Macaca fascicularis: one gene and its partners. The protein of the gene in region 2 interacts with the protein of the main gene of each other region in a biochemical or structural test. Links are inferred from orthologs where the notes say so. Each region holds a gene or a part of one and is shown on either strand. Other genes may lie near its edges. The genes, in order: GSK3B, NFE2L2 and ENC1.

Region 1 (3,656 bases), on a different chromosome or scaffold from region 2:
GGGATGTGTGTGATAGAGTTTGGGGAAGACTCACCTTTAAACATACAAAACAATTGATTTCCTAATATATTCCAGCCTTGGAATAGGCAACAAATTAGTTAATAAGAAAATACTGATCCTTACTGGGCTTTCCTGATTCTATCTGCTTCCTAAGGTCTGATTCAGCTATGGCTGAATTTGAAATTCTAATGACAGGAAGAAATGGAAAGAAGGGGGTGTGCCAAAGGTTTATTCCAATTTCCAACATCTGAGAGCAGATAATATTGTCAGTCATGGGGTCCTGGAACACTGAAGCTTCAGTGCTGGAAAAATGAGAGAGGTCTGATGTTCTCCTGAGTTATGGATTTAGGCAATCAGAAAGATCTCAAAGTTGTCCATCTCATATCTGTTCATCTCTCTCCTTCGTCTATCTGAATATGGAAATATTGTGATTATATGAAAGTAATGCTAATTACTGTTTATGGCTAATTACTCCATGGTACAGTAACAAACATCAAATTGCAGTTAGCTTTATTGTAAGCTTTACCTTAATAAAACACTATATTTTACTCAAGTGTTTAATCTTTATAGTTCCGTATATATAGCAGGTTTACTTTAGAAATTAAAACAATAGTAATGACAACCAGAGGGAACATTAGAAATGCCCCAAAAATACTGGTTGTATGAATTAATGAATATTATGTTTATTTAAAGTGGTACATGGCACTCATACATTCATTGAGCACCTACTATATGTAGATCTTTATTTTATTTGGGGGAAGCAGTGCTGCAGATGTCACTGACAATTTGTTATGAGGATGGAGGAGGGCTTTATGCTGCCTTTAGAAGAACCTCACTAATATCCCTCACCCTTCAACCAGACCCCCCACAATGTTTCTATCTCTAGATTTCCTTTAGCTATACAACCAACTGGAAGATTGATTCTCCTTCTTCAACCCCTTGGATTACCCAGTTTTATTCTGGTCATCCATTAATTACTACTAACTAGCATGTGCTTTAAAGTTGCATCTGTACACAGTTACAGCTGCCTCAGAAAACAAGATCACCATTTGGAAACACTGCTCCAAAATTAGAATACAGAGTATCATATCAAATACAATGGCATCAAGGCTAGGCATGGTGGCTCACACCTGTAATCCTAGCACTCTGGGAGGCCAAGGCAGGCAGATCACCTGAGGTCAGGAGTTTAAAACCAGTCTGGCCAACATGGTGAAACCCCGTCTCTACTGAAAATACAAAAATTAGCCAGGCATGGTGGCAGGTGCCTGTAATCCCAGCTACTAAGGAGGCTGAGGCACAAGAATTGTTTGAATCTGGGAGGTGGAGGTTGCAGTGAGGCAAGATCATGCCACTGCACTCCAGCCTGAGTGACAGAGTGAGACTCCGTCTCAAAACAAAACAAACAAAAAAAACCAAAAAACAAAAACAATAACAACAACAACAACAAAAAAAACCTCTCTTCCCTGGACATCTTACATAGAAACACTGTTCAAAAACAGTAACAATAGTGATTTACAAAGACCGTGAGAAAGTACTACTTTGTGATTACAGCTCAGTTTCAGAATGGGTGCTAAGACAGAGCATTTTAACACTTTTTAAAAAGGGGCCATATCTCAAAATGACAGCACTTTCAATAATAAGTAGGCATAAGCACACTCTGTGACGTCTGCCCAAGGACGAAAATTGCTGAATGACACATTTCTCAGAACATATCTGCATCACTAAGGAATACATGACTGTGTTTACAGGGTCCAGTTTTTCACTGATACTCAGAATCACATAAACACTCTGATAACCACAGAGACCACACACTCTATCTATACACATTACATCCAAATATAAATGCATTCTCCAAACCCTCAAAAACATAAATGTTCAAGACCCACATCATATTTATATCTAATGTGCTGGGCAAACATATTTTAAAATACCAAAATAAAAGAGTCTTCTTTTTTTTTTTTAAAAAGAAAGATATGATATATATGAATAAAGGAAATAGATTTCTTTCTTTCACAGAAAGCTCAACATCTCCCTTTTCTGTTTTCTAGCCTGAGTATGCTTACTAATCAATACATCAACTGTGTTTTTTTTGGTAATGAATTGTACATTTTTTATGCTCAGTGTAAGAAGAAAGTCACATCATCAGAGGTAGTGTGACTGAATGAATGAATCACTTAGGTCTTAATCAAGGAGAAAAGAAAACTGAACACAGAAATAGTGAAGAAATAGTGACTATCCCAAGGTCTTCCAGAAACCACAATGCACAAAGTTAGTTTTCCTTTCAGTATTTTCTCTGCAGCAGCGATGGTGCCAAATCTCAGAGGGGATGGAAATTTCCTTGTCTCTATTGTTTGTTTAAGTTCTTAGAAAGGGTTTATAGGGCTCCAGTTTTCCTCCTGTTTGGAAGACAACTGAATTTATACAAATATAGCCAATTCATTCCAGGTTTAAAAAAACTTGATACAAACTCTAGGGAAGCAAGAAATGCTACTATTTTAAGTTTCAGATCCAAACCTAAAGGTTAAATTGTACATTAGTCCAATTAGTGATAAACTTCACTCACTGAACTCTCTGTAACTTCTCCTGTGCCAACATTATATTCTGCTAAAAATTAAAGAAGCTATGCCTATTGGAAAACTTTTATGTGCTACTCTTTTCTTCAAAATCATATAAGTAGTGACCATTAAGTTAGAAAGGATGCTCTTTTCGCCTACCTAAGTACTTAATATGTCCATTTTTGTCTCCCACAGATTTTAATTAATAGAATGTCATTTCACACCCAGTGTGTAGCTTTCCTAGAACTGGTGAAGAGCAAAGTGTTTGGATTTACCTTGAGTGGTGAAGTTGAAGAGTGCAGGTGTGTCTCGCCCATTTGGTAGTTTGACATTTGGGTCCCGTAATTCATCAAAAAATGAATGTGCACAAGCTTCCAGTGGTGTTAGTCGGGCAGTTGGCGTATACTCCAGCAGACGGCTACACAGTGCAATTGCCTCTGGTGGAGTTCGGGGTCGGAAGACCTGCAGTACAAAAAAAGGGAAAGAATAATTAATGTTTTAAGAAACTAAGTAAATACCCTGTGAGCAATGACTTAATTACCACCATGCACAGAAACATGGTTGCATTTGGGAAAGGACCTTCTAGAATGGAAAAAGTTAAATGCATATGATTCACAGGGGTGAATTGCTAATTAAAGATTATATGAGAAATGCTCGGAGAAAAATCTATATATGCTAATCATAAAGTAACAACAATCAGACATGCATACAAAATATGATAGGCACACGGGAAAGGCTGAGTTCTGGAGGCAAGTACAACTAGAAAATTATTTCTTAAATTTTAAAGTTTTCACTGCTATGGCAGTAAATAAAAGATTGCCTCTTTTGCATTGTTTTTTAGCAGAACAATTGTTAATGATGGGCAGTACTGTTCAAAAATTTGGCAATCAAAAAGAAAAGAAAGAAGAGCTATTTACTCTAGGTCTATAAATGCTACTGATTTGGTATTATTTCCAATAAACAGAACCTACCATTATTTGAAGAAATTCTTGAATACCTTGAATTTGATTAAATGTCCTATTTTTTTTTTCTCAAGTAGGTGTTACCATGAATATGGCCAGATTTCCCCCACTTGAATGAATATTCCAGGGTTTTAATCAA
Region 2 (2,639 bases):
TCTGTCATATTCCACCACCATCCCTTTCTTCGGCCACATTGTCCTTGTTTTTTCTCAAATGTGGTTCCGCCTTTGGACCCGCTGTGTCTTGTCTACAGTGTTCTTGGCTATGAGAACGGCTTCTCCCCCCCATCGTCAAATGTTGCCACTTCAGTAACGCTCTTCCCATTTACAGCCTTAAGTTGTGATGCTTTTTACTGGTTTTCCCCATCCAATTCCTTCTAACATAGTGGAGTATGCTTGTTACCTCCCCTTCACTAGAATGCAAGTTCCAGGGCAGGGATATTGGTTTTGTCCTTTCTACTTCAAACTGTGCCTAGTGTATAGTGGGCGTATATCTACTGATGGAAATAAATGAATCAATGCTTTCACGTCAGTGTATAACATTTTCTTGGGTTTAGATGTACTTGCTATTGAAGAGGCAAAGTATCCTCTTGATATACTTTATTTTTCTGTAACCCTGGTACTAGAAATTTAGTATAAAATGATTTTTATATTTTCAAATAAAACATTGTGAAAATGCAAAACATCTAAATTAAAAGGATGATTATCTTACGGAAAATACTACTTGTGAATAAACTCAAAGGAATCCCAAACAAATAATTTAACAGTCATAATAATCCTTTATTAGTACCAGCTCTTAAAATTGTTTTTTGCCAGAGCTAAACAATTTAATATAAAAAATGCCATTTTTTTGTCCATACAGTATTTATAAAAAAGTACATAGTGGTTAGTTTTGCAATAATTTGCTTTTAGCCAGATGTCATATCATCATATAAATCTATGAATATAACAAATGACATAAGAACAGTATAAATAAGTTTTTGTAGTATTTACACTTACACAGAAACTAGCCCAAATGGTGTCCTATGAAATTGTTTATAGTTAAAGTGAAACTACTGATTCAACGTACTGACACTCCAATGCTTTTTAAAGTTTCATATTATTTTCTATACTAGTTTTGGCTATAATTTTGCATAGAATTACTTATAAAGTATGAGCATTTCACATCACAGTAGGAGCTTTTAGTATAATAGTACAAAAAAACTAGCTCAGAAAAGGTCAAATCCTCCTAAATCTAGTTTTTCTTAACATCTGGCTTCTTACTTTTGGGAACAAGGAAAACGTTGCCATCTCTTGTTTGCTGCAGGGAGTATTCACTAGGAGAATAAGGTTTTCCATCTTCATCACGTAGCATGCTGAAAACTTCCAGATATAAGGTGCTGAGTTGTTTTTTCAGTAGGTGAAGGCTTTTGTCATTTTCTCCTTTTTCTTTGAGCAATTTTTCTTTTTCATCTTTCAAATGATCTAAATCTTGCTCTAGTTCTACTATATTTTCCAGTTTTCTTTTTCTACAATTCTGAGCAGCCACTTTATTCTTACCCCTCCTACGTATATCTCGAATTAATGCAAGTTGAGCTTCATTGAACTGCTCTTTGGACATCATTTCGTTGAAGTCAACAACAGGGAGGTTAATGATTTTTTCTACGGGGAATGGGATATGGAGAGCTTTTGCCCTAAGTTCATCTCTTGTGAGATGAGCCTCCAAGCGGCTTGAATGTTTGTCTTTTGTGAATGGGGTTTTTCCATGACCAGGACTTACAGGCAATTCTTTCTCTGGTGTGTTCTCACATTGGGCATCATGCACGGGAGTGCTCTGCCCCTGAGATGGTGACAAGGGTTGTACCGTATCCCCAGAAGAATGTACTGGTTGTGTTTTAGGACCATTCTGTTTGACACTTCCAGGGGCACTATCTAGCTCTTCCACTTCAGAATCACTGAGGCCAAGTAGTGTGTCTCCATAGCTGGAAGATTCCACTGAGTGTTCTGGTGATGCCACACTGGGACTTGTGTTCAGTGAAATGCCAGAGTCAGAATCATTGAATTCTGTTGTGCTTTCAGGGTGGTTTTGGTTAAAAGCTTTGCAAAGTGATAGATCAGAAACATCAATGGGCCCATTTAGAAGTTCAGAGAGTGAATGGCTTAAAGTAGCAGGTGAGGGCATGCTGTTGCTGATACTGGGCTCAGCTATGAAAGCAGAATAAAATTCATCACCAAAATCTGTGTTGACTGTGGCATCTGAATTTAATGAGTTCACTGTCAACTGGTTGGGGTCTTCTGTGGAGAGGATGCTGCTGAAGGAATCCTCAAAAGCATTAAGAAAATGTGGACTACAGTTACCTACTTCTTTTTCCATTGAGGATACAGATGAGTAAAAATGATAATTGTCAACTTCTGTCAGTTTGGCTTCTGGACTTGGAACCATGGTAGTCTCAACCAGCTTGTCATTTTCAATATTAAGACACTGCATGGGAAAGAAGTTTATACTATATAAATCAAAGTTAATCCATGATAATATGTGATAAATTTAGATAAACTCCCTACCCACATTATCTTCAGGCTTATCTCTATAATTTATTCTCTCTATAATTTAGAGATAATTCTCACTTCCAATACGTATTTATGCCTAAGCATATGTATTATTTTCAGAGTTCCCGGATCAGACATCAGGTTTATAACATTCTATCCTCAAGATATCCAACCCATTTAACTAGCATGGGCAGTACTCATGACTAATTTAATAGCACCCTCCAATCCTTCCTATAAATAGGCGGCATATAAATAATCAGAATGACTAA
Region 3 (4,135 bases), on a different chromosome or scaffold from region 2:
CTAATGCTATCTTTTGGCTTTCTTCAGTAAGAAAACAGTAGGCTAGAGACATAGGAAATGCTTGTCATCCATCTTCAAAAACTGAATCACATGCCTTCATCCTTTTCTTTCATACCACCCCTCTGTTACTTCAAAGGAATGAAGTCCTCAAGAAGCTGCCTGTCCAAGGATTCCTAAGGAAGCTGTTTATCCCGTTGTTTATCCCCAGAGGGTAAACTGTGTGGCTGGTTACAGTATCTGTTCCAGACACAGAACAGCCAGTCCTGAAAGCGCAGCTGAAACTCTGTTTCCTTTAACCATTCAGATATTTTTAAATTTACATTCTAAGAATTATTAATAAATGCAAATGAATGATTTGCCACAGATTCATGGGCTAAAATACTAACTTGCACCTCCCCAACCAGATGTGAGCCCCGCTGTGAGACTGCACAGAAAACCACAAAGGCAGGGGCAGGACACATATACCTCACGCCATTAGGTGATGCAACTAGTTTTCTTTCCTTTTTGGAATGTAATTTTTTATGATGAGTAAACATGGCTTAGTGGAAGAAAGGAAGCAACAAAGTCCTAGAGCTACAGTGTTAGGAAGACTTTACAAAGCACCCAGTAATCTCCACAGTGACTTGGGATATAAAAAATGGTGAGGAGCCAGCCTCACTCCCACCTCAGGCTAAGTGTCTACTGTCTACTCCATTCTAACCAATGCCCAGTGTTCTGGAAAATGACCATGTGAACCTAGGGGAATGCATCAGGTTTCCAAAGGGTTAAAACATCCATTAGCATTCTCAATGCTCCACCACTGTAGTTGTTATTTTAATTAGTACATTCAGTCTGAAGTATTTGGAGGAAGACTTTAAGTCTAAACCTGGATAGACTGTCTACATCCTCCTATGAAGCTACTGCCTCTCAGGCGAAGAGCAAATGCTGCCCTGACTGAAGGAATAATGAGGTTCCCTGAAACTAGGTGCACAGACACCAAAATGCTTACACGTTGAGCTGGAATCATGCTGGGCCCAGAACACATTTCCCTGAACATTAGATTCAGGATGGTGCAAAACAACATTCACAACCAGACCTACAGCTAAGAAAACAATTTGTTTAGAAGACCTTAGGATATAGGATCTACATCTCTCCGCATCCTGTGTTTATGCTCCTGTATGTTCCAGGCTGGCCCAACAAGCCAGAAGGAAGAGCCTAGCCTGTCATCTTGGATACCATCCAGATGGAAAAGCACGTCACAGCCAAAATCACAATCAACATTCTTGCAAAAATGTTTGATTAAAATAAAAAGTAAACTTGGAAACCCAAGGGGAAATACTTGCTTTCTGGTTTAAAAGTGTGCAAACTTCAAAATATCAGCAGAAACCACGTATACAAGTCACTGAACACACCTTCAACATAAAATGAATCATCTTTCCAGCATTTTTAAGCCCCCAGAGAAATCACATTTGCATATCAAGTAAGTGGCCAAGAAAATGCACACTTATACTTAATCTGCGTCTACAAAGAAGACAGAGAAAAGGGCTATTACTGTGAACATCAAAAGGGCTTCAGTTACAGTAACTTCAGTTCACTTCATGCTCCTAATTCAGGCTCTCTGCCTCCAATGCTTAGCGTCCCGCACGCTTCTCCAGGTTTTGAACCTGATCTCAATCCAATCAAAAGAGAAACTAGGCAGATTTTTTTCTGGGCATTTATATTACCGGTAACAACAGAACATTATAAAGATCTTGTTAACAAAAGTAGCTTCTTGCCAGAGTCTTTTTATTAACACTTGCAAAGCTATTTAACAAGCTGGCCATGCCTGTGTGACACCAAACTGCATGTGGATAAATTCAATGTTTCATCTCCCCGCCCACCAATTCCTGTCCTTTGTAACTAATAATGTTAACACGACAGATCAAGAAACTAGTTTTTCAGAAAACAGTTTTCATTCATTCTCTATAAGACATTTCCGCCGCAGTGAACATGCCCGCTCTCAGGGTGTCTGTGCGTGGCCCCAACTTTCCTCTGAGCCGGGAAGGATGCAACGTGGGCCAACGATTCCGCGCGCTCCGCCCTGGAGGCTGCGGGGAGCGACGCAGCGCGACATTCACCCCCAGGAAAGCGCTGCTTTCCGCGGAGGAGAGAGGCTGACTGTATCCTTAGCTCTGCTCCTCGCTTCCCCAGCGGCTCGCCCCGGACATTGCACCGCCGGTCGACCTCTCTGGCGATGCCCGGCTCCTGCCTGCTGTGGAAGGGCAGCGGCGGGCACCATGGTCTCCGCACCTAGAAGAGTTCCCCCTGGCCTCAAGTGGAAGCTGCCGGCTGCCCGGAGCACGCTCACCCCTCGCGAACACACCCCTGCAGCCGAAGCAGCCCCTGAAGCCGGCAGCGCCTGCAACAGGTCCGGGGCAGTGGGGGAAACTTACAGCAGTGGCGACTGGCCGCAACGCACAACTGAGTTCTAGCGTCGGTCACGGGCAAGGAGGCGACGAATCGGTCGTCTCAGCCCCGGGAAGCGGTGGCGAATGCCCCGGAGAAAGGAGCGCCAGCCGGGGAGAGGACTGCGCCCCGAACGATGGCTCGCGGACTGGCTACCGCTGGCGTTCGCCTCTGCCTCTTGTCCCCACGCCGCGCACCCGGCGTCCAGGACCCGCAGAGCGTCTACCGGAGCGCGTCACCGGAGCGGAGAGCAAGCCTGCCACTGCAGGCGCCGCGGAAGGAGGCGGGCTGTGTGCTCGGGGGAGGGAGCTAGAAAGCGCCTTGTGCGCCGGCTGCCGCCAGGCGTCTGGACCCGGTCTCCGCAGCGCCACCGCCGCACCGCCTCCTCTCCGGCTGCCAGAGCAGTCTGCGCCCCGCCGCGGTGCGCCCCGCTATAAGTGGCGCGGCGGGGAGGGGAGGGGGCGCGTATGCAAAGAGACCGACACCGGGGGAGGGAGGAAGCGCATTAGCGCGGCCCGTGGTGTAGGAGGAGGAAGAGGAGGAGAAGGAGTGGGAGGAGGAGAGGAGCTGGGGAAGAGCGTGTCGGGGGAGTTAATCGGGAGAGGAAGCGGGAGAGGGGGGCTGCGGGGACTGCAGAGAGACAAAGCGGACGCGCTATCTCAGCCGCTGGCAGCTGCAACCCCGGGAACCGAGAATAAAATAAGTTTTCCCGGGTTCGAGTGTGTCTGCGCCTCTCTGAGCCAGCCTGGTTAATGGACAGTCCCGGATCTGAGGGACGCACCTCAGAGGAGCGCAGCCCGGCGTTGTACGCTCGGTGATGCCAGAGCCCGCGCGATGCTCTAAAAAGGGCAGCCAGGGGCGAGCTGGATATCCACAGGACAAGCCCTGGGCACGCATAGATAGCTCCTTGGGTAGGACGCCCAGAGTGGGGAGAGATAGTGGCAATGGAAGGGCAAAAGTCTGAAAGCTTTGGGGACACTCGGGTTGAGCAAGCCAGGACTTTTAAGTTTCTTACTGGCAGAGAGCCAAAGAGACTCCAGCCCCAGGCATTTCCCATGTGTCCTCCCTCCCCATTCCCCAGCGGGTGCGGCACCCACGGCTGGACTCTGCCCTAAGCCAGGCGACTGCAGCGGCAGCCGGGGTGCAGTTCTGCGGGGCGCGCACCACGTGCTTTTCAGCCAATCGCCGCGGCCGCTTGATTCAAAGTGAACTCCTCAAAGCAGCAGCCACGCCACCTCCTCTCCTAGCGATAAAGCCTCCATCACCCTCTCCTGTTTTTTATCGCTCGGTGGTGGTAGTTTGGAGTTCAGTAAAGAAATGGCTCAGCGCACACACACGTTTAATAGCCCCGCGTGCCAGGAGAAAGGAAGGCGATTCGAAAAATAATCTCGCGTGGTGATCACTTTTACGAATCCCATTTATCTTTGCAACTAGAGACTTGTCTTTCCACTGGGAGCTAAAATGTCTGTTTTTTATTCGGTGTTTGGAATTAAGTGTATAAAGGAACGGGATAGATGACCGGTCCAGCTCCCTTGTTTTACAGGTGGGAAACCGAGGCCCAGGGAGATGTGAGTTGCCTGGCTCGTAGTCACTTAGCAACAGTGTCCCAGCTCTGCAGCTCGAGAGTGAGGGCCCCACGACAGAGTTAATTCCGTCCCCGGGTCCGCGCGTCCCCGAGCGCCCGCGCTTCGCCTCCCAGCTTGCTTTAAAA

What was found.
Region 1: of the proteins of NFE2L2 (region 2) and GSK3B, one has a biochemical effect on the other in vitro, tested with the Homo sapiens proteins (2 studies listed by BioGRID). The link is inferred for Macaca fascicularis from reciprocal best matches to the Homo sapiens genes NFE2L2 and GSK3B.
Region 3: the proteins of NFE2L2 (region 2) and ENC1 form a complex in vitro, tested with the Homo sapiens proteins (2 studies listed by BioGRID). The link is inferred for Macaca fascicularis from reciprocal best matches to the Homo sapiens genes NFE2L2 and ENC1.

Annotation. Positions count from the first base shown.
Region 1 is NC_088376.1:163,313,705-163,317,360, reverse strand, and holds part of GSK3B (glycogen synthase kinase-3 beta), read right to left. Parts: intron 3,018-3,656; coding exon 2,831-3,017; intron 1-2,830. UniProt on the Homo sapiens protein: Constitutively active protein kinase that acts as a negative regulator in the hormonal control of glucose homeostasis, Wnt signaling and regulation of transcription factors and microtubules, by phosphorylating and inactivating glycogen synthase (GYS1 or GYS2), EIF2B, CTNNB1/beta-catenin, APC, AXIN1, DPYSL2/CRMP2, JUN, NFATC1/NFATC, MAPT/TAU and MACF1.
Region 2 is NC_088386.1:72,766,630-72,769,268, forward strand, and holds the end of NFE2L2 (nuclear factor erythroid 2-related factor 2), read right to left. Parts: intron 2,306-2,639; coding exon 1,079-2,305; 3' UTR 604-1,078; downstream 1-603.
Region 3 is NC_088380.1:78,628,154-78,632,288, forward strand, and holds the start of ENC1 (ectoderm-neural cortex protein 1), read right to left. Parts: upstream 2,835-4,135; 5' UTR 2,412-2,834; intron 1-2,411. UniProt on the Homo sapiens protein: Actin-binding protein involved in the regulation of neuronal process formation and in differentiation of neural crest cells.